3 linked regions of the Notamacropus eugenii genome follow. The main gene of each other region encodes a partner of the protein of the gene in region 3 in a complex. Links are inferred from orthologs where the notes say so. Each region holds a gene or a part of one and is shown on either strand. Other genes may lie near its edges.

Region 1 (7,582 bases), on a different chromosome or scaffold from region 3:
TACCCAATTAAACCACAATCTTCTCAAGGATGGAGACAGTATCCTTCATTTCCCACCCTAGAATTTGGCAATGTAATAGGTGCTCAATATTTACATTCATGTTAAGCTGAAGAAGTAAAGGTTAGGTGCACATGGACAGAACGTCAAACTCAATACCCAGAGGCTGGAAATTGCCTGGGAATGAGAACTGTTGACCTAAATCATCTCGAACGGACCTTTCAGCTTTAAAATCCTGTAATTCATTCTCTATCAGGGTTGCTGAACTGGAAACCCCAGCCTCAAGGAGTGGAGCCAGAAGATTTGTATTGCTAACCCTAACTTCACCCCTTAATACCACCCTAAAAATAGTTTTCTAACTAGAAAAGTGTGGAGCCTAACTATACTTACTTAAGTTAACCTAAAATGCTGCTGCCTCCACTTCTATTTACAGAAGGGCAAAGCAATCATTTGCATAAATCTTTCTAACTGAATTCTTATCCAATCTGCCAAAGATTTTTAGAAGCTCTCAATTTCCTTCCCCACCCCACCTTCCTGCCCTAAACAAAGGATGGCAGGGGGCTGGGGACAGTTTTTCTTCACTGTCCTCGACTCCACTTGGGTAATGAACAAAACCAAAGCACGCTGGGAGCAAAGGCACTAAACCATTCACACTCCCAGGTGTTCTTTCCTCCCCTGCAATGCTCTTTTGAGCACTACTGGGATCCTGAAATGGGCAAGAGAATTTCTAGATTCCCCAGCATCATTCAAACCAAGTTCCTATAAGACTTCAAAAAAATAACCTTCAAACACACAGTAGCCAAATCAAATTGTACTAAGTGGAAAATAAGAAAATGTGGTAGAAAACAAGGCAGCTGCTTTTCACTCTACGAACTGTGCCTCCCTAATCACACAACCGTGACAATCTTAACATCCCTGGCAAGGCCAGGGAAGTGTCTGACTTGCATTTTATGTTTTGAAAAGGAGGAGCACATACTGATACTGATATCTGAAACTCTAACATGAAGACGACTACAGATATGCACCTAACCTTCATCTTTACATCTGGCCACCAAGTCAAAGAACACAGAAACACTGAAGTTCTGCCCATTTGACTCAGGGGCAGCCCAAGACACACTTACAATCTGGCCCAAGGCTAGGGAGAAAAACATTGGCTATGTAGTATAATACTGTCCCAATACTGAATTACTAAGACACTAATTAGTCTGGAAAAGGTAAGATCTTTTACCAACAGATATAATCAGAAAAAACCTCAAAAGCAAATTTTAAAGTGAGAAATTCTAAAACTCAAAAATTGCTTCCTCATTTGAGTCACTGATTCATTCCAATACCAATACCATACCAATACCAGCGTTAATATGACAGCATTCATCAGTTCTCCTGACTTCTGGCCTTAGATGGTCTATATTAGGAACATCTAAAACTTTAAAAGGCTGATGTAAAGGATGCCTTCCAAATCAGAGATTGGCTTGGATCCAGTCTCAAGACACATAACAGTTAATAGAACAGAGAGGTCATCTTTGTCTTATTATACTAACAGCAACATCAAATGAAAATATTGCTACTGTATACAGAAACTATGTCAACTATGACAACAAAAGAAGTGTTGAGCAGTGAATACCCAGAAAAATCCAGCTGTGTCCATAGCCTATAAACCCCAGTAAGAGGTAGCCAGCTAGATTTTAAGTTAGAGAAGCAGTGTTGGTATAGTAGGAAAGGTACAGTCTTTGGAAAATCAGAAGAAATGAGTTCAAATCTTAGTACGATCATACCTGTATGATGTGGGAAAAGTCACTTAACCACTTCAGGCCTCAGTTTTCCTCATTTGCTAAGTGAGGGACTTGGAAAGGATGACCTCCAAGATCCCTTCCAGACCTTAAATCCACGTAGAGAAATTCAAGTCCACTCACATTCACTAAGACAGTTGTCTCTGAAGTACACATTCAACCTTTTTTTTCCTGATAAAGTATCCAGCACTAAAGTTTGTTCCTGAAATCCTCAGCTCCACCTCCACAAAACAAATTAAAAACCATGACCTTTGCTGCTGAAACACTCCTCAGGTCACCAATATGGCCCAACCAGAAAAAGACCAAGTCACTAGGACACCATCTAAGCCTTCCTAAGGTGGTATTCATCCTTCCCCTCTATGAAGGAAAAAAAGCTTTACAAGTATTTGAGAAATAATCTGGGGGAGCAGAGTGGGAGGGGGAGAGAATGCAGATTTGAAAAGAAATGCTGATTTAAAAAAAAAAAAGCAAAAAGCACTGATACAGTGCATTGAGAATAGACAGGATGAAAATTTTCATTTCAAAGTAAAATTCTCATAAAATTTTGAATCCAATGAAGCCCCTAGTCATGGCACTTAAGGCCTCAGTTTCCTCATTTGCAATATGCCCTCCTGGCCCTAAATCGGTGATCGGAGGTCTCGGGTGGCAAAAACAAACCCGCCGCCCCTTCAGGGAGTGGACGTTCCCGGCAGCCCCAGGCCAGCAAGTGGCCCAAGGGGCTGCAACGACATTGGGGCGGGTCACGGGGGTCTCAGTTTCCCCACCGGTCAAAGGACGGGGCTGGCCTCCCGAGGCCCGCGCCCAGCCCCCCACCCCGGCACTCCCGGGCTCCGCGCGCCCGCCCCCCGCCCCGGCCCCGGTCCCGGGCCCCGCGCCGCTCCCTCACCGGGCCCAGGCTGCGCGGCAGCCGGCGGCAGGGGCAGCGGCGGGGCGGCGGCGGCGGCCGGGCGCGGGCCGCTGCTGTTGATGATGTAGTGGGAGACGCGCGAGTTCTCCGAGACGCTGAGCACATAGTCCCCGGGGCTGGTGCTCGAGTCCCGCACCAGGAAGACCCCGTGCCGCTGGCCCTGCAGCAGCGCCACCGCCTCCTGCCGGCTCAGCCGCCCCCAGTACCAGCTGCTCCGCTCCTCCGAGTCGAAGTTGCCCGCCATGGCCGCCTCCGCCCCGACACGCTGGGCCTGGGCCCGGGCCCGGGCCTGGCCCACCGAGGACGATGCCGCCGCCGCCCCTCCGCCCGCGCGCGCGCCCCTCCACGCCCGCGCGCCGGCCGGCCGGCCTGCCCGCCCCGACCGACGACCGCCCGCCCGCCCGCCGCCCCGCGGACCGGCTCCGGCCTCCGCTCCTCAGCAGCGCCCGAAATGGCGGCGGCGGCGGCGGGCCTTCCCCACCGGAAGTGACGCGCCCCGCCAGGGGCGGGGGGAGAGGAGCGGGCGGGTGGCCTGCCGGGAAAGGAGACAGGCGGCCGCCATTGGGAGAAGGGCAAGCGCGAGCATGCGCGCTGCCCCTAACGCCGTCTTCCCCGGTCCCCACCCCGGGCTCTCGGGTGTCACTCTCCGGCCAGGGCCGGCACTGCAGCTGATTCCAGGGCGGGGCCGAGGCGGCCGAGCAGGGGGCGGGGCTTGCCTGGGGGTGTCCCTGTCACTCGTCACCCATTTCCGCCTTCGAGTCTCGGAATCCTTGAACCACAGAATGGAATGTTGGTGCCTGGAAGGAAGCTTGGGCGCCCCGGACGCTTCCTCTCGGGAGCCCCCCGACCCGGCCCTCCCGGGTCCCCCCACCGCCCCCCCGGCCTCCCCCGCCTTTGGCCGTCAGGGATCGTGCATTTAGAGCCGCGGGTCCGGAGAAGTCCAGGCAGCCGGCCGTCAGGAGTGGGGTCCCCGTGGCGCCCCGCCCCTGCCCCCTCCCCTCCCCACGCACGATCCATCCGCCCGAGACACCTCAGTCTTGTGTATTAGAAGAGTGGAAGCTCCCTGAGGGCAGCACGGCCTCTCCTTTGGAATTCATGTCCCAGTCTTGGGCTTGCCGTGGGGGGAGGGGATGTTTTAAAAATAGATGTTAAAAATAAATCCTAATAAAGCTAAAAAAAATCTATCTCGCCAGTACTTAGCACCATTGTGCTTAATAAATGTCTTTTCATTCATTCATGTTAAACTCACTTCTCTAGTCCATCTCTCCCCGTCACCCTCGGTCTGGCTTGTTTCGCAGAAGATCTGTACACCCTTCAGACCAAGTTGTTACTTAGTAACCTTCAGCGGCTCCCCACGCTTCATAGCCCAGGTTCCAGGTCCTCCACAGTCCGAGCCCAGCCCGCTGCCCCAGCCAGGCTCCAGTAGTGCTTACCACCTGTCACCACCGCACCAGGCACCCAGGATACCCACGCAAAAGGGAAGCAGTACCTGTCCTCCAGGAGCTTATGCTCTATGAAAGAGACACATCCACACAAATCTATCTATCTATCCACACGTACACACACGTATATACTGCACTAATACTTTTGGAAAACCATGTGTATGTATGTTCACACGTGCACATAACCATAAAACCGCACATGTATATGTACCTATCTATATATGTGTATGTATATGTACCTATCTATATATGTGCATGTATATGTACCTATACACAGGAGCTACATATGTGCCGCACAATTTTTAAAATATGTGTATACATGGATGTCCATACAGCACACATAATAACACATACCGCACATATATGACATGCTGACAACAAAATATATTTTAAATAAATACAAGATAATTTGGAGTCCAGTCCCATTCCCCAACACACCCAACCTAGTCTCTCCCAGTGGTGTGACTTAGCTCACAAGCCAGAGATGAACTCCTGTCTCTCCTGTCTCCCTCTTGTCTCTGCTGTGGTCTCCGCCTTGCCTTCAAGGACTCAATCACCAACTAGAAAGCTACCTCCTTCAGGCACCCCCTAACCCTAACCTTCCTTCCTCTTCCCATCTCCAAGTGATTATTCCAGGTGAGTGTCACCTCAAATTTTCATTCAATAAATTAAATTCAACAAATATTGAATAAGTCCCTTCTCTGTAGAAGGCACCTCAAGATACAAAGGGGTAAAAACAGATTGCAATCTATTAGATCTGCTGTTATCTCCCATACACAAATTTCACTCTGGATTGGAGAACTATTTGTGTATTTCCTTCCCCTCCCCTCATCCCCCATCCTCACCTCCACTACCAAGAAATTGTGAGCTTCTTGAGAACAAAGTTTGAGCTCTGTCTTCTCAGCAAATTCTAGCTCAGTGTTGAAAGCACTTAGGAACTTGTTTCTAACTAGAACTCAGCACTGCTGGTAAGCCACTTGCCTCACCTCACACAGTTAGTGGTCCTCCTCTACCTCTACCCCCCTTCCATTCATTCCTCTCATGCCTTTAAAGTTTTTTAGAGACGGAATTCAGTGATTGTACAGTACCCGTACTAAGACACGAACCTAACTCCTTTGTAGAAATGGGTGGGACTGTTCTGAGCCATGACTCAGAGGGCAGTGCTAGGGTGGGGATGGGGAAGAGGAGTTATTGCTGGAAGAAACTCCAGGATCCTATGTATACACTTACTCCACACACTCTCCCACCAAACTGGACGGGACTGCCCCACCCCCTTCAAACTCTCCTGGGGTTATAGCTACTATTTTTGTATCTTCCTTTTCTTTTCCCTGTGACCCGATATGAGCCAGAAACACAGTGTGTTTGGCTCTGTGTAAGTGGCTAAAGTTCTGGACTTGGAATTAAAAGGACTTGACTTCCAATCCGGCCTCAGATACTAGCTGTCAGACTCTGGGCAAATCATTTCATTCTCTTAGCCCCAGTTTCCTCATCTGTAAAGTGGAATAGCACTATCAGGGTGGTTTGAAGGATCAAATGAAATAATGTGTGATGGCCTTCACAGACTTTTAAGTGCTATATCAATGGTAGTTATTGTTATTAATACACAAACCCTAAATAATAGCCCTGGAGTTGGAGAAAGGGAGAGTAGGTAGCTGATAGGATCGTAGATGGTCTGCTCCTAGTTACAGGTCCCAGGCCCACCAGATCACTGCCAGGCCATCTCCAGTCACAGCCACTGACCTCCCTCCAGAAACACAGTCCTCCCCTCCCCTCTCCTGCCCTTAAAGAAAGGATGTTCTATATTTCCTTAGCTTGGCTTAACTAAGTTATGTTCCTATAATTTTGATACTTTTTTATTATAAGGGAATGCTTGTGACACTGCCCCCCCTCCCAAATCTGGTTCTCCCTCCCAGTCTTCTAACTCAAGTGCTACCTTTCTCAAGTCCATGGTAACTTGAGAATCACTGCATTCATTATATGATAGAGGTTGCCTCCCCCAATCTCCCATACCTCCTCCTAGGTGCCCATCCAGTGTTGAGGTAATCCCAACGGCACTCACTGAGAGTTACTACAGGTGTGACCCTACCCAAGTAATTTAACCTATTCAGGCCTCAGTTTCCTCTTCTGTAAAATGAGATATGTCAGGCTCAACTTTTTTGAACAATGGAATAGATGACCTTGGACATCCCTAGACTGGATGGCATCAGATCTGAGTTCAAATCCAGCCTCAGACCCCTAGTGATGTGATCCTGGGTAGTCACTTCATTTCTGTTTACCTCAATCTCCTCAACTGTAAAAAGGCAGTCACAATAGGCCCTACCTCCCAAGGTTGTAGTGAGGTTCGAATGAGATAATATTTGTAAAGTATAAAAGCTAGCTTTAATTAGTATTATTCTAACTGAGAATCTGTGATTCTGCAGTCACTAAGGAAGGAGGGAGCTTTCCTCCAATTCTGGTATTTCAATCACCTCTCACAGGACCAATAGAAAGGCTGTAAATCCGGGGTCGCCAGCCCCTGCTTCAAGCTTCTCCAAATTTCCATACTCTCCAGCTTCCTGCTGGCCACTCCCTTTCCACTCTGGCCTTCTAGAAAGCTGGCTATAGCCACAGTTTCCTGACTCACCCCCTCCCCCACCAGCGCACACACCTGCACCAGCCTCCTCTTTCACCCATTGTTGTATTTCCTCCTAGTGTCCTTCCCAACACAATTTGACATTTACCAATGGACGTGTGGACAGACGCTGGCTCTCCCCTACCAGTTTCCTGGAAAGAACATGAGACAAAGCCAAAGGATCTGGGCTTGAATGCCAGAATTGCTACTCACTGGGTGTGTGATCTTGGGAATCACCTCTCCAGGCATCTGTTTCCACCTCAGTAAAATGTGAGGACTGAGCTAGATTAGAGGTTAGCACTCACTCTCATATTGTAAGGGCACACCTGGGACACTGCCTCCCCCCCAATCTGGTCCCCCCTGAGTCTTCTAACTCAAGTTCTGCCTTTCTTATGTCCATGGATAGGAGGAGAATCATTGCATTCATTATATGGTAGTAGCTGCCACTCCCAATCTCCCATACCTCTAACAAAGGTGGATAGTAAGTAGGCCTTGGAATCAGGAAGACTTCTGCCATTCACTAGCTATGGAACTCCAAATCACTTAACCTCTCAGGACTGTAAATGGTAAGAATGTAAACTATAAGAAGATGCCAATCTGCACTGGAAGAATGAGCTTTCACATTTGGGAGGTCTGTGTGTTTGACCTTTGTTGCTGAAGAAGACCATGCCACCAGAGAAATAATACCATGACTTGCACTTGACTTTGTTTTGAGTGAGGGCTGTGCAGATCACCAGCCTCACTTCTCCTCCAGAGTCATCTGAATCCAGTGACCAGATATTCATCAGGATGACTGGAGATGATCCAGGATGAGGCAATTGAGGTTAAGTGACTTGTC
Region 2 (7,557 bases), on a different chromosome or scaffold from region 3:
CACCCTATTTTCCCCAGGGTGACATCTTCCTTCGAAAAGAAATCCAGTCCAGGAGGTTCTGGTGACTCATCCCACCCATTTGGCTACCTCCCTCTGCCTCTCTGCTCTCCTGTACAGGCCTGCCTCTCCTCACTTCATTTGAGCCCATATCCATACCTGAAGCAAGTCCTCGCTCAGAAATTCAGCAGTCTCTTGGACACTGTGGGGACAGAGAGACTGGGTGAGGGGAGAATTTGGAGACCTCTACTCCACCTGCTTTCCTGCTTCCCCAGAACTCCCTGACAGATATCATGATGTAGGGGACTTGGAATAAGGAAGATGTAGCCTTGAAAGCTGTGTGACTCGGGACAAGTCACTGGCCATCTCTCTGTACCTGTTGTCTGTAAATGAGCAGTCAAAGTAGTTGTCCTCTGAGACCCCTGGGAATTCCAAATCTATGATCCCGTTGCCAAGTCTGGACTGGGGTGGGGGGGCACTTCAGGGTGACCAACTAAGAGCTGAAAGGGGATTGAGAAGAGAGTGGAGAGGACAGGAACCCTAGCTGATCTGTCCATTCAGAAAGGATTCTGCCAGTCCCTCCCGATCGCTGTCTCTCACTCATTCTTCCCCACACCCCTCCAGCCAGAGCACATTCCAAAGCAGTGGGGAATCCAAAGTCGGGCTGCTTCCTTCTCCACCCAGAGCTGCACCTGGGAACTCAGGGCAGGGCAGCAGGAAGGGCTTCTCAGGGGCCCCCAGAGCAAACCTGTAAGGGCTGCCATGATAGGGAACAGCTGGAGTAAAGTCTGGAAGGAAGTGGGGGGAGGGAGGATAGCTTCGCTTCGGGGATAGAAGAAAACACTAAAAAGAAGTTGAGTTTGAATGTTGTCTCAGTGCTCTGGGCCAATCTGCCCTCAATTGCCTCATCGATAAAATGGCCTCTGAGGTCCCCTGCAACTCCACTTCTATGCTCCTATAATCTTAAAGCACCTCAGTGTCCCCCTCTGTAAAATTCATGGATTGGGTTAAATGGTCTCTGGAATCTCTTACAGTACTAAAGCTACGATCTGAAATCACTTCCCCTCTAAGTCTCAGTTTCCTTCTTTGTAAAAAAAAAACAAAAACAAAAATATGGGGCTTAGCTTAGATGGCCTCTAAACTCCGTCTCAGATTGAAATGCAGATTCTTTTCTCCTCACTTCTCCCTCACCCCCAGCTTCTCCAGCACAGCCCATAACGCACACTGAAGTCACAGAACTGCAGAGTCCACTGAGCCCAACCCCCTTATCTGAAGGATGAGGAAACAGGTCCAGAGAAATGACTTATCCAAGGTATCATAAGCAGTAAGTAGCAAAGACAGGATTACAACTCAGGTATCCTGGCTCCCAGTGAGTTATTCCAGCACCACCACCACCACACACAACATAAGAGAACTCTAGGTCCCATGAGGGGATGGGGAGGGAGTCAGGGCAAGGCCATCTGGTTTTGGTTTTTGTAAAGCAGATGTTTAGAAACTTAGCCCTGAGAATGGGACTGGATTTTTACCTGACCCTGGGAAAAGCAAAGCAGAATTCAGAGGACTGACATCCTGGGGGGGAGAAGGGGGTTGGAGACAGGAAAAACAAAGGCATATGGGAATAAAAGCTCTTGGAAGGCTTTCTTCCCCTCTAAGAAGTCCCCCAGGGGTCATTGTCTCCAAGGAGCCAGGGTCCGGCCAGACTCTCCTCTTCCCCCCTGTCTCCTGGGGTCTCAGAGTCCCATTATCTGCTTGCTCCTTTCCAGGGAGAGTCCTAAAACCTTCAGTTCTTTAAGTGGTCCAAACTGGGGTTGGGGGAGGTGGATGGGAGAAACTAGCCCAGAGTCCCAGGCAGAGTGAGAAGCTAGCTATCCTGTCCCTGACCCTCCCCTCCATCAGCTCAGGGCTAGCCCCACCCCCACCTCTAAAACTCTGAACTACAGAAACCTGAAAGGAGGCGGGCAAGGGGAGGTTAGGGAACAGTTTCTAATTTCCTCAGCTGTAAATGAAGGGATTAAACTAGATCTAAACTCAGCTCTAAACACTAACTTCCTCTGTTCTAAGAACTCTGCAAGCTCTGAAGTGAACCGTTCTAAGATTCCTCCCAGTTCTGACATTCCAGATTCTAAGGGACCTCTCAGTTCTGACATCTCTTTTTTAAGGATTCTCCCAACTCTGCCTTTCCAGGTTCTAAGGCTCCCAGCTCTGAAGTTCCTTTTTCTAAGAGCCCTCCCAGCTCTTACAATGTGAGTTGGGAGGCCCCATGCTGCTGGGACATTCTCTGTTCTAAGGCCCCTCCTAACTCTGACTCCTAAATTCTAAAGTCCCTCCTAGTCCCCTCCTCCATGGGTGGAGATTACTCCTGTTCCTAACCAAGCCGGACCCCCTTCTGTAACATCTTGGGGGGGATGGGCTGAGGACTCCAAACCTCTCGTTCGGTTGGGAAGGAGTGGGGAGGCGGGGAGAGGGGCGGCTCTGGGTTACACCGAGTCGGGGCCTTACCTCACGAGACTTCCCTTCCCAGAGGCCCTCTTTTGGGGGGGGGGGGGGGGGGGGAAGAGGTGTTGAAAGAGAAAGCAAAGGGAACAGGTTGTAACCCAGGGTTGGGGTTTGGGGTGGTGTTGGCTGCCACTGAGGCAACTGGTGGTCTCAACCCTAATTCTGCCCCCCCCAACACACACACACACACACACACACACACACACACACACACACACACACACACACACACACACATCGCGCGTCTCCCACCACCGCTGCCAGCTCAGAGCCACGCTCACCGTCCCGAGCCCCCAGTCTGGGACAGCTGCAGCCGCATCCGATTAAGCTGCCTCTTCATCATCTTCGAGGGCTGGGGTGGCCAGCTGGCGGGAGGGCTGGAGAGACCGGGGTGCCCCCCGAGCTGCTCATAGGAGTCTTCGAGCCGCACGCTAAGCTGTGCCCCGGCAGACGGACGGGCGGACGGAGGGACTGACGGCCGGTCCAAGGCAGGGAGGGAGGCAATTTTTCTCTTCCTGGCGGAGCCTCTGTCTCTCTCTCCTCCTCCTCCTCCTCCTCCTCCTCCTCTTCCCCCTCCCCCTGGTCCGGCCTCTCCTCTCCCTCTCTCCTCCCCCAACCCAGGTCACCACCCTCCTCCGCTAACTGTGCCTCCACCCCCACTCCTCCGTCTTTCGCTCTGTCAGTCTGTCCGTCTGCCTGTACTCCAGTCTGGCTGACTTCCCCCGTCCCGCCTTCGAGTGCCCCCTAGTTGTGCCTGTCCCCACCTGCGGCGGACAGAAAGAACTCCTGGGCCGCACCTGAAAGGGGGAAACGAGGGGGCAAGCCCGCACGGGGCCCGGGCCTGCTTCTGACCCGGGCACGGTGCTCCCCCCACCCCCATTCACTCCCTCGGCTTAGGGCCTGTTCGGGCGGCTCCTGGGACCTGGAACTCTCTTGGGTGACAGAGAGCGCGCTGGATTTACAGATGGAGTCCGTAGGTTTAAATCCAGCTCTACCGAGGCAGACTTGCTGTGTGACCTTGGGCAAGTCTTTGCCCCTCTCTGAGCCTCAGTTTCCTCATCTGCAAAAATGAAGGGGCTTCAATCTAAATAATGTCTAAGCCCTCTCCAGTTCAAATTCAATGACCAGAATCCCTCCATTCATGGGATCTTGTCTGGACGATGCTGTCCCTTCCCCAACACACATTCTAATCGGTGGGCTAACCTCCACCTTCTATTTTTCCCAGTTTGTGTTTTCAGCATTTCCTATTCCTTATCTCCATCCCCACTTACACTGGAAGCAACTCTGGGGGACAGATAAAAATTATGAGGGGACAATTTGACTTGGAACCAGAGGATCAGGGTGAGTCCCATCTGCTTTCTTTGGCCTGATCCCATTAGATTCAACATGCATTGACTACATGTTATTAACTGTGATAAAAGGAGAAATCGGAACAGGAGGGACCCAGGCTTCAGTCTCACTGATAGTATCAGAGTTCAGATCTCACCACAGTCACTTGACACTCACTAGCTGTGTGACCTTGAGCAAGTCACTTAAACCCAATTTTCTCATCCTGAGTCATCCCCAGTCATCCTGATGAATATCTGGTCACTGGATTCAGATGGCTCTGGAGGAGAAGTGAGGCTGGTGACCTGCGCAGCCCTCCCTCACTCAAAACAAAAGTCAAATGCAAGTCATGTCATCATTTCTCTGATGGCAGTGAAGGACAAACAGATATCAGAGCTGAAATTCACAGCTTCTCTGTCACAATCTTCAGAGTAGACTCTACTCTGGCCCTGACTAGATGGGCTACATACATACAGTGCACCTGTGACCCTGGACAGAGGGAGCTTTGTTGGAGTCAAAGGTCATGGGTTTCACAATCCTACTTCTGCCACTTATTGCTTTTGTGACCTCAGTTTCCTTATCTGTAAAATAAGGGGATAAGATTTAATGACCTCTAAGATTCCTTCCAACTCTAGATCTGAACTCCTATGACTGCACTTCAGTTTCTTCATTTATAAAATAGGGAGAATTACATATATATCTCAGAAGATTTGCAAATATAAAACCTTAAGTGGCTACTCAAGAAATTTGTAAGGCATCTAAAACTAAGATTACCTTAAAAAGGAGAAAAAGAAAGAAAGAGGATGGGACCAGGAGACCAGGTTCTACACCTGACTGCCAGATTCTTATCAAGTCTTTTCCCTCCTCTGAGCCTCAGTCTCATCTGTCAAATGGGCATATCCTGGACCTCACAGAAGTTCAGGGATACTGAGTTTTTTGAAGAGCTGGGCTTTCCTTCCTAAAGATGTTTCATGTCTCACACAGCCACAGTGCCCCCCTCTTCCCATCTTCTGCTGGGACTGCTGGGACCTCGAAGGGAGAGTAACGGCAGCACGGGGTGTGCACCGGCAGCATGGGGTGTGCACCAAGCACCAGGAAGAGGAAGTGGGCCTCAATGTAATATGCTACTGACCCCAGGGGACTTCCCACCAGGGCCCCTTGGGGAGGGAAGTGGGAGCTATAGATTCCTCTCACCCTACCCCCAAACCTCATCTAGACTCTACCATTCCTTTAGCTCATGGAGCTCTGGCCAGTGCTCCTTCCCCTTAATACCTCATTAACTTTCCAGGAGATAGGTAACATGTCACAGCTGCAGGGCACCTCACTGGTCATGTGGCCCAATTCCCTCATTCTGCTGATGAGGAAACTGAGGCCCAAAGATGAGCAGAGACTTGCCCAGGATCCGACCCAACCACCGCCAATCCAGATCTGGTTAACAATACCACAATGCAATCCTTAATTTTCTAGATGGGAAAACAAAGGTCTAGACTCTAGAAAAATTTGGTGAGGGGCACTTAGCACCTTTCTCAAAGGCACACAGCGAATTAGTGGGGAACAAGCCTGAGTCTCCACCCCCCACTAGTCGAGCTGCTCAGTGTGGCCAGAGAGCCTGATATTCATCTATTTGATCACAGAATCCTGATTCTTCCTTCTCTGGTTCTTCTCTCTTTTCCTTTTCTCCTTACTTCCCAGATCAGAGGAAGGATCATGGGGTCTTATATTTAGAACTGGAAGGGGTGGAGGCCTTAGGGAGAGAGATATCGCAGGGGAAAGGGTGTCCTGGGCCCACGCTCAGAAAGCCTGGCTTCAATCCCCTGTTCTTACTACTGTGGGACCCTGCTCAAAACGTCCAACTTCCCTAGGCCTCAGTTTCTTTTTCTGTAAAATGAAGAGGTTGTACCAGATGCCTTCTGAGGTCCCTTCTAACTTCTCATTTTATGATTCTTTGACAGTGGATAAGTCACCTTTGCCTCTATGGGGCTCAGTTTCTCCATTTGTAAAATGAAAGGGATGGAGTATTTGACCTTGGAGATCCCTTCCATGAATTATAAACATTTAGTTCAACCCCTTTATGTTAAATGAAGCAAGTGAAACCCAGAGTAAGACAGCTGCCCCAAATCACCCCGCAAATAATAACAGAGTATTGAACTGTGGTCCCTCCAACCCCAGGTCTTTCCCCAGTGGAAATGCAGGATCCCCAGTGGGGAGGCCTCAGATGCTGATTAGAAGACTGTCACAGACTAACTACTTCCTGCCAGCCCCAAAGATCTCCAAGGGGTATGAAAACAGAGCCAGAGGCCAAGGGAGCTCCTGCTGGAGGATCAAAAGCTCAGGCGGGGGGACAGGCAAGAAGCCTACGGGCTGCGAGGTTTCCCCTCCCCCACTGAAAAGTGGAGAGTGGAAGCCTTTCTGAAAGGAAGAAAGGGCGGGTCCCAGCTAACTTCCCCAGGAGGCTGAAATCACCTCACTGCTGCTTTAGTTCTAACAGTTAGAAACTCGTGCTTCCGGGCACTTGCTTGGGGTGAGAGTCTGGGATTTCGAGTCAAGGATCTGGGTTTGAATTCTGAGTGTTCCTTCCCTGGCTGTGGGATCTTGGACAAGAGGGCCTTTTCTCCTCTCTGGGCTGCTGTTTTGTCTTCAGTAAAATGCAGGGACTGAATGAATGAAGGAGTTCTTCATGTCTATCTGGTAGTCTGGACCCCTTCGGCAGTCAGCCTGTGGAGCCCATCCTAAAATCTTGTTTTTAAATACACAATAAGATACACCAGATTACAAAGGAAAGCAACTATATTGAGAGAGTTGTCATGTTTTTAAGTTCACTGGCCCTGGGTTAAGAGCTCTGGACTAGATAAGCTCTTTGGTCCCTTTTAGCTCTAAGCCTCATGGTTTACTTCAAGCACCTCTGATTTTGTGGGGGTGGGGGTGGTTTTAACAGAGGCCTTGGTGATTTGGCAACTGGCTTCCGAGAGCTTCTGTGGGTACAATATTCCTCACTCCGTGACCATGGGTTTAGGACCATAGGATTTAGAACTAGGAGGCAGATGGGGAATCCGAGATGGGGGAAGATGAAGGTGAAACAGATGACTCAGTCAATCCTTGGCTGACAGACATGGTCCATCATCTACTGGTGGCTGGTAGCCTTTCCAAGCAAATGGAAGGTCTTTGAGCAGTCCTTGTATTCCCCAGCACATAGTAGGTACTTCAGTACATGTAATATCATCTATGAACCCAGGGTCATCTCCACATCATGATGTGGCTTCCTGGAAGAAATCCCACAGTACCAGGACCCAAGAGTGACTTCAGACAGTGAAATCCTGGTCTAGTATAGACTGTTTAGACTGGAGAAGGGAGTTCAGAATTCCTGGGTTCTGGCCCTGCTTTTTCACCCCCAGATCATATCATATGACCCAAGGGAAGCAGCATACTCAAGCAGAACATAGACTGTGGGATAGCATTCCTTTTCATATCTTCTGTGCCTGGCTCATGCTTGTATAAAGAGTCAACAAAGTATGATTTAGAAAATCAAACCTGCTGGACTTGAAATTAGACTATCTGGGCTCCCAGTCCTGCTGCTTATGATCTGGATATAATGTTGGGCAAAAGAATAAAAACTTGTGTTTCTACACCTTTTAAAGATTTACCAAGTCCTTTACTCAGGAGGATTACTGCCCCCATTTCACAGATGAAAAAACAGAAACTCAGAGAGATTATAAGACACCCAAGGCCATAGAGTTCATC
Region 3 (7,316 bases):
CATCACTATGTTGGAGTCAAGATACAGTGTGCCCAACTGTGGCTGATCAGACCAATATGAGCTTGGAAGGCTCCACCACAGGACGGGCACAAATAGTCCACATGAACATCTCACATTTCTTTTGAACTACTGCAATTTTGCTTCAAAGTGCCCAGCACATTCTTTGATGTGAGCACACTACGTTGGGCAGTTCTGTGACAGCATCTCCATCTCACAATGGATTCCAAAGTTCTTCAGAGAGACCTTGAAAGTGTCCTTGCATCACTTCTCACCTTCATATGAGCACTTGACTCGTGTGAGTTCTCCATAAAACAGTCTTTTAGGCAAACATGGGTTTGGCATTCAAACAATATGACCAGCCAACTCTGCAGTAGAGTTTGAATGCTTAGAAGCTCAGCTTAAGAAAGGACCTCAGTGTCTGGTACCTTATCTTGTCAGGTGATCTTCAGAATCTTCCTAAGACAATTCAAACAGAAGCAATTCAGTTTCCTGGCATGGTGTCAACAGGCCATCCCAGTTTCACAGGCATACAACAATGAGGTCAGCACAACGGTTCAGCAGACCTTCAGTCTGACAGGCAGTCTAATACCTCTTCTCCCCAACACTTTCCTTCAGAACCTTCCAAGTACACAGCTAGCTCTGGCAATGGGTGTGTCAACCTCATCATCTATGTGTACATCCCTGGAAAGTATAGTGCCAAGGTAAAGTGAACTTATCCACAGCATTCAAAATTTCTCCATCTGCTATATTCAATTGTTCCATGGATGGATGGTGTGATGCTGGCTGGTGGAGAGCCTGTTTTCTTGGTGTAAATTGTTAGGCCAAAATTAGCACAAACAGCAGAGAATCAATCCATACTCTGTTTCAACTCAGCCTTAGAAACTGTATTGAGTCCGTAATCAAAATGGGTTACCAGTGTGTTCTAAGAAATAATAAAAGAGATAGTTTCATAGAAACCTGGGAAAACTTGCAAGAACTGAAGCAGAAGGAATAGGCAGAACTAAGACAACAGTTTAACAGTGAAGACAATACTGTAAAGACAAAGAACTTTGAAAGACTAGGAACTCTAACCAACAGAATGACCAACTATGACTTCCAGAGGACTCATGATGAAACATGCTCTCCACCTCCTTAACAAAGAGGTGATGGATTCAGAGTGCAGAATGACAGAGAGAGAGATAGAGAGAGAGAGAGAGAGAGATAGAGAGAGATAGAGAGAGAGAGAGAGAGAGAGAGAGAGAGAGAGAGAGAGAGAGAGAGAGAGAGAGAGACATGGCCAATGTGGAAATTTGTTTTGCTTGACTACAGATGTTTATAACATGTATAGTCAAGTTGTTTTCCTTAGTTACTCTTCTTTCTTTCTCAACCTGGGGAGAGGAGGGGAGAGGGAGAGGAGGATTTTTGTCAATTGAAAAAAGTACATATTTTAAAAAATAGGTGATCTAACAAAGTGATTCACTTTGTTATCACTTGTTACCAATGTATTTTAAAATGAACTTTTAAAGGGAGGGAGATGGTACAGAGGATGAGAGAGAAATCATAATGAGCAATTATTTTAAACATCATCAAATTTGTCTGTCAACTGAACTAAAATTTAATTTGATTTCAGGGCTTTTTCAAGAATCTTAAGAAGAATTAAAATTCAAGTTTCTAATTAGGTTACAGATTGAAGATTTGAAGTCATATTAATATCCTTAACATTACAATGAGAAATCTGAGACCCAGAGAGTTTAAATGACTAACAAGATAACATTGGGATTTGAACCAAGGTCCTTAGACTCCAAATTCACCACTCACTGAATCATACCATGCAGCTAAAAAATTTTCAGTACTCACAAGATTAGCTTATTTTCATCTCTTTTTCTTCACCTTGAATACATCTTGGCTAAAAAGGTCCTTGGACTAAATGGCCCCCAGGGAAATACTAACAACTTCATTAATCTGGGTCATGTTTACATTTCAATAGTCACGGGCAGTTACCAGTTTAAAAAGTTCAATACACTGAAGTTATTATTCCCACTTGGTAACTTGGATCCTTACTTGAACTTTACAAACATATTACTTAAAACACTTTAAGAATTTGATGACTAGGGCCCAGCATCACTAAATATTTTAATAATGATAGCCTACATCGTCACAAGACCTCACAAATACTATTCCTCATAACAGAATTATGAACAGAACCCTGAGTTCATAAGTTAAATAACTGTTCCCTGCTGAGAAGTATCAGTCTAAGTTGATTGTTTGCCTTGACTTAACCAAAAAGGCTTACTAGAAGCAAACTGTAAGTCCACACAGACAGTAGGACAACAAAATTACAATACATTAAAAATTCCAATGACAACTTTTCATAAATGTCATTTCAAACACACTGAAAAATCAGAAAAATATTATTAAGGGAAAACGATTGGCACTCATGTTAGATAAAAGAATTTATATTTGTCTGTTCATTCAACCAGCATTTAATAAGCACCTGTAAGTAACATGTGCAATTATCAATTACCAATTTATTGGTATTCAATTATCAATGAATCATAGATTCATAAAAAATGAACTAGACCTTAGCAATCATTTAGTACAATCCTCTCATTTTACAAAAAGAAATTGCGGCCCATATTTGGGAGAAATTATTTGCCCAATGTGACACAGCAAGCTATCTGAAGAGCAAGGGTAGAAAATAAATAAAACCATGAGATTTTGCATAACATTAAATCATAAAGAAATTTTTTCTCATACAAAGGGAGTCTAAGAGCCACCTAAAAGGAAAATATATGCTAGCTTTCTAAATTTTCAAATGGGATGTCTGAATCAGAAAAATCTGTTGTGCTCTAATTCTAGCATCCTAGCGAAGTCTATATGATAAACATTAATTTAAGCAATACTAATAAGCACTTACCATGTTCCACAAAAACATTGCAGTGTGGACCCCCATGCCTTGATGATTCCTTCTTCCCTGCTCCTTTGATAAAGTGCAGGGCAGGCAAACTTGGCCTTCTCTGGTCCCCAAGGACTTTTCCAGGCTGCTGCCCCATAAAGGAACTATAGACAACCTTTCCCAGAAAAAGAGGGTTTCAGATCTTCCAGACTGGTCCAATAGCTTAGAATGACAATAGTATAATTTGGGTTTCACATTCACATTCCAGAGAGATCACTTACTGAAGTCAATCACAAGAGAATTCTCCCAAAACCAAGTGTAAAAAATGCTTCTTAGTCCGCTCAGGCAAAGAGGAGCTCCAATTTTACAGTTTTTTATCAGTTTGAACGATACAACTATAATGTTATCAGTGTCAATTGATTTGGACGTCTTTTACTTGAACAGGAATTAGTTTCTTTCCAAAAGTGAAGCCATTTAAAAATATATTCACAAGGAATGTACTTTTCCCACTGCAATTTTTGCATTCCTCTTGAGAATAAAGTATTTGCATGGACTATTACTTAAGTCTAAAAGGGTCAGGTATGCCAATGTCATTTTAGATTTCAAAACAAAGACAAAAGTGTAGCTGTTTCTGGGTCTCTACTTCTCAGAAAAAAATCAGGAATGGTCTTTGACAGAAGGATCTGGATACCGGCTCTGAAACTTTTCCTGTGGAAGTCGCCCAAACCCTATCTCGGTTTCTTCATCTTTGACCGATTTCCTGCCAATCTGGCTGCTACTTCTCTCCGGAAAACTGAGCTGGGTCACCCAGACTTCACAAGTAGATTTACACGAGCAGTCAGTCACTCCAGGAATGCATTGCCAGCAATTTTAAGTCAGCTTTTTTAAAGGGCCTGTGGAACCAACCCAGGCTTTTCCTTTGCATTAAAGTCTGGGGCAGTCCAGAGCCTACTAAGGCCTTTGGTGACATAGAAAAAGACTAAGGGCATTGGAGGTTGGCAAGACTGGAGGGGGAAGGGAGAGAGGGAGGAAAGGAAAGCAAAGGGATGAGGAAGAGTGTTTGAATGGGTGGCACGGGAGAGAAGCTGAACCTGGGACAGAAAGGAAAACTTGGCAGCCTATTGGGGAAGGGACAGAAGGGGGGAAGGGGAGAGAGATGAGTGGCAGAGTTGGGGAACCTTTGAAAAAAAGGAGTGGAACAGGAGAGAGTATGGGGGAGCAGAGGGGTCGGCGGGGGAAGGAAGAAGGCTGGTTCTCTCGCTCACAACCGTCTCCCGCAGGGGAGCAATCGGCGGAGGAGCTCCGGGCAGAGGGTACGACCCTGCTGGAGAGTCCTGCCTCCCCCGACACCCCAAAAGCCAGGGTCCGGAAGGAGTCACCGAGATGCCCGTGGGGCAGGCGGGGAGGGGGGAGGGGAGGAGCTGCCCAGTCCTCGAGGTGGAGAAGTAAGAAACTCGGCCCGGAGACACCCGCCGCCCCCGGCCCGACGGTCCTTCCTCCCTCGGGTCCCCCACCCCAGCCAATGGTCAGTCAATCATATCCCGGAGCTCCCGAGCGTCCGCCCGCTCCCTCCCTGCCAACCTGCCTCCCCTTCTGCCTGCCTCACTCTGCCTCTCTCTCTCTGTCTCTCCCCCTCCCAGCTGGGGCGCGGGGCTGCAGCGGCGGGGGCGGAGGCCGGGGGCCGGGCAGGGGGCGCCTTAGCTGCGGGTACACGGCCACCGGCTCCGGCGCTGCTGCTCAGGGAAAGACACCAACCCCCTCGGCCGCCATGATGGATTACAACCCGCTCCACAACGAGGCTGAGCCCCGCCCCGGGCTCCCCGCGCCCCGCCCCTCTTGGCCCCGCCCGCCGCAGGCACGTACGGGACGTAGCGGAAGCAGTAGGAGGAGAGAAGAGTGGGGCGGGGCGCACGCCCCAGGGGAGTCGTTTTGAGCGCGGGGGCTGGGGAGCTGGGGAGGAGTGTTAGTTCTTTTAATGGACGTTCTCCTTTATATGAGTAAGCCACATTTTCGAGTCCCAATCCTGGTGTCTCGACGAGTTTAGACAGGAACAATTAAAACCGCACCGTTTTTTGGTCGTTTTTTTTCTTCCAAGCAAGAAGGAAACGCCCGCCTGTTTTTATTGGTCTCGGACAAATCAGGTCGGGACAAAGCTTCCTTCTCCATTGGCTGGTGAACCTGTTAGTGCTGAAGTTGTTAGCCAATCGCCTTGGGTACCGTCCTGAAGGCCGCCGGGAGCTGTAGTTTTTCCGTGACTCCCTCCCGTCCGCTAGGCCATCTGAGACTTGTGCACTCTTCTTCCAACCGGTTCTTCAGTCCCTCCCTCTAGGGATTCTGCGGGATCCCAGGCCCCTTGGAGAGCAGGCACGAGTCCTCCCAGCGAGAGTGCCCTAGCAGGCGGATGTAGAGCGAAACACAAACTACGGACGGGATTTTCTCAGGGCTGGAGTAGGGTTTCTTCCCTGAGATACCTAGGGGATCCACCTGTACGCCACGCGTCTGCCACTAGCCATGTAGCTACGTCTGTTCCTTTCCAGCCTTTGTGGCTTCCTATTCAAGAACTGAAGCACTGGGGCTGTGGAAGGAAAACTATGATATGTTTGTTGACCCAATAAGAAACACACAGGCTCGTACTGGAGTTTTTTTCCTTATTTACAGATGTTAGGTGGTTTATACGACAAATATTAGAGCACGCAGGTGAGAGATCACACCTGAGGACAAAGTCACCTAACTGCTTTATGACCTTGTGCAGGTCGAAAGGGTCGAAGAGGTGGGAGGCAATTCAAGATGGGGGAGGGGGGTCATCCTTTCCTGGCCCCATCTCCGCCACCTAGAGCCCTTTGAAACGTCCACAGGAGGGATGGTCAGTCCGGGGCTTTGCCCAAGATGTACCCGGTGTCCAGTACGCTCTCTCCTTCCTCCTTCACCTCGTGGCATTCCTACCAGGCTCCTTCAGAAGGGCAGAGCTCAAGGGCTACTTCCTACAGGGCTCTTCCTGACCTCCCCAGTTCTTACTCTCCTATCCAAAACAAAACAACAACCCCCACCAACTTTGTAATTGTTTTGTATAGATGTAATACGTATCTATGTAAAAACTGCTTCCCATTAGTAGGATGCAAATGCTTGGCACACAGCAGGCACTTGATAAATGGTTATTTAATGTCATTTCTTTCACTCGCCTGTTTCCCCATTTGTAAAATGACTGGGCTGCTCTAAATGATCTCCTGAGCTCTCTTCCATATTGAAAAGCTCCTTCCAGTTGTAAAATTCTGATGTTTCTCAGGTTTACATGGGGCATGGGGAAGGAGCAGAAGAACCTTCAACTCTAACTAACCATGGACACATCACAGGATTGAAAGCTGGAAAGGCACTTCGTTATCTCATTCACCACCTTCATGTAGAGGAGAAAACTGAGGCCTGAAGTTAGACTTGCTCAAGGTCACACAGATAATAAAAAAGGAAATCTGGGCTTTGGAGTCACATCTTCTGACTTCAAATCTACTACACTACTTAACTTCCCTTCAAATTCCATTTTACAAGTTAATCTGCAAAATATCTAGGGTAATTAATTGGGTTTCTAGTTTTGCTTGTTCAGCAGGTTTAGTCCAAAATCTTTAAGAACGTCAAGGGGCATCTTAATTTTTAAGAAAAGCATAACATGTAGATTAAGGATGGTCAGTGACTATGAAACAAAAAGACAGACTTTTAGTTCAGAATATATTCTGGGATGACATAGAATGCAATTGAAAAGCACTCATGTTTTTTCCCAGGTATTGTTATCCCTTCTACATCACGACTTTCCCCATCGAGGTTTTGATATAAGTCAACATAAGAAATTAAATGGGAATTTGGGGGGAGTTTTGCTGAAGCTGCAGATGACACAAGGCCGGCAGAATGACACAGAAAAAGTTTAGAAACTCAAAATGCATAAAATACATGTATAGTATTATATAATATCAACCCAAATTTTATAATAAGGTACTATAAACACCCCATAAAAGAAAAAATTCATACTTCTTCTCTGGTATGGAGAGCCAAAAAATTTTATTAGAATTTTCCAGATTATGTGATGTGGAAGGGATGACTATACTCCTTACATGTCTCACCAAATCTGCACAGTTGGACTAATCACATCAAATAATTCACTGCCCTTGGGTTCTGCTTACTATCTTCTTTCTTTAAGTTACAAGTGCACTTGCAGTCAGAAGACCTCGATAAAAATTCCAAAGATGTGACTGTGTAACCTTGGCTAAGTCACCTCACTGCAGTCAACCTTGGTTTCCTTTTTCCTAAAGTGCAGTTAAGAATGTTTTTTTTTTATAACCTTGTGGGAAACTCTTAACTCATAAAGGGTTCTATTTATCTCAGTTATTATTAAACCTTAAAGCTTATGCAAAGTCAGTATTTGATATCAATTACGAAGTGTTAAGAGAAAACATTA

Evidence for each region.
Region 1: the proteins of ABL1 (region 3) and CRK are in contact, whole or in part, in an NMR structure (PDB 1JU5), measured with the Homo sapiens proteins. The link is inferred for Notamacropus eugenii from reciprocal best matches to the Homo sapiens genes ABL1 and CRK. Residues at the interface, in NP_005148.2 of Homo sapiens: Tyr70, Phe72, Asp77, Asn78, Thr79, Asn94, His95, Asn96, Gly97, Glu98, Trp99, Trp110, Pro112, Ser113, Asn114, Tyr115; in NP_058431.2 of Homo sapiens: Pro44, Asp46, Asn63, Gly66, Pro67, Arg68, Pro69, Pro70, Val71, Pro72, Pro73, Ser74, Pro75, Pro80, Gly81, Ser83, Pro84, Ser85.
Region 2: the proteins of ABL1 (region 3) and SH3BP1 are in contact, whole or in part, in a crystal structure (PDB 1ABO), measured with the Mus musculus proteins. The link is inferred for Notamacropus eugenii from reciprocal best matches to the Homo sapiens genes ABL1 and SH3BP1. Residues at the interface, in NP_033724.2 of Mus musculus: Tyr70, Phe72, Ser75, Gly76, Asp77, Thr79, Asn94, Glu98, Trp99, Trp110, Pro112, Asn114, Tyr115; in NP_001303613.1 of Mus musculus: Ala607, Pro608, Thr609, Met610, Pro611, Pro612, Pro613, Leu614, Pro615, Pro616.

Annotation. Positions count from the first base shown.
Region 1 is NC_092873.1:39,471,977-39,479,558, forward strand, and holds the start of CRK (adapter molecule crk), read right to left. Parts: upstream 3,036-7,582; 5' UTR 2,936-3,035; coding exon 2,671-2,935; intron 1-2,670. UniProt on the Homo sapiens protein: Involved in cell branching and adhesion mediated by BCAR1-CRK-RAPGEF1 signaling and activation of RAP1.
Region 2 is NC_092874.1:294,919,418-294,926,974, reverse strand, and holds the start of SH3BP1 (SH3 domain-binding protein 1), read right to left. Parts: upstream 3,038-7,557; 5' UTR 2,837-3,037; coding exon 2,775-2,836; intron 1,865-2,774; exon of another isoform or gene 374-1,864; intron 200-373; coding exon 157-199; intron 1-156. UniProt on the Homo sapiens protein: GTPase activating protein (GAP) which specifically converts GTP-bound Rho-type GTPases including RAC1 and CDC42 in their inactive GDP-bound form.
Region 3 is NC_092872.1:482,395,267-482,402,582, reverse strand, and holds the start of ABL1 (tyrosine-protein kinase ABL1), read right to left. Parts: upstream 3,033-7,316; coding exon 2,897-3,032; intron 1-2,896. Other genes in the region: uncharacterized protein, read right to left, coding at 3,714-3,845. UniProt on the Homo sapiens protein: Non-receptor tyrosine-protein kinase that plays a role in many key processes linked to cell growth and survival such as cytoskeleton remodeling in response to extracellular stimuli, cell motility and adhesion, receptor endocytosis, autophagy, DNA damage response and apoptosis.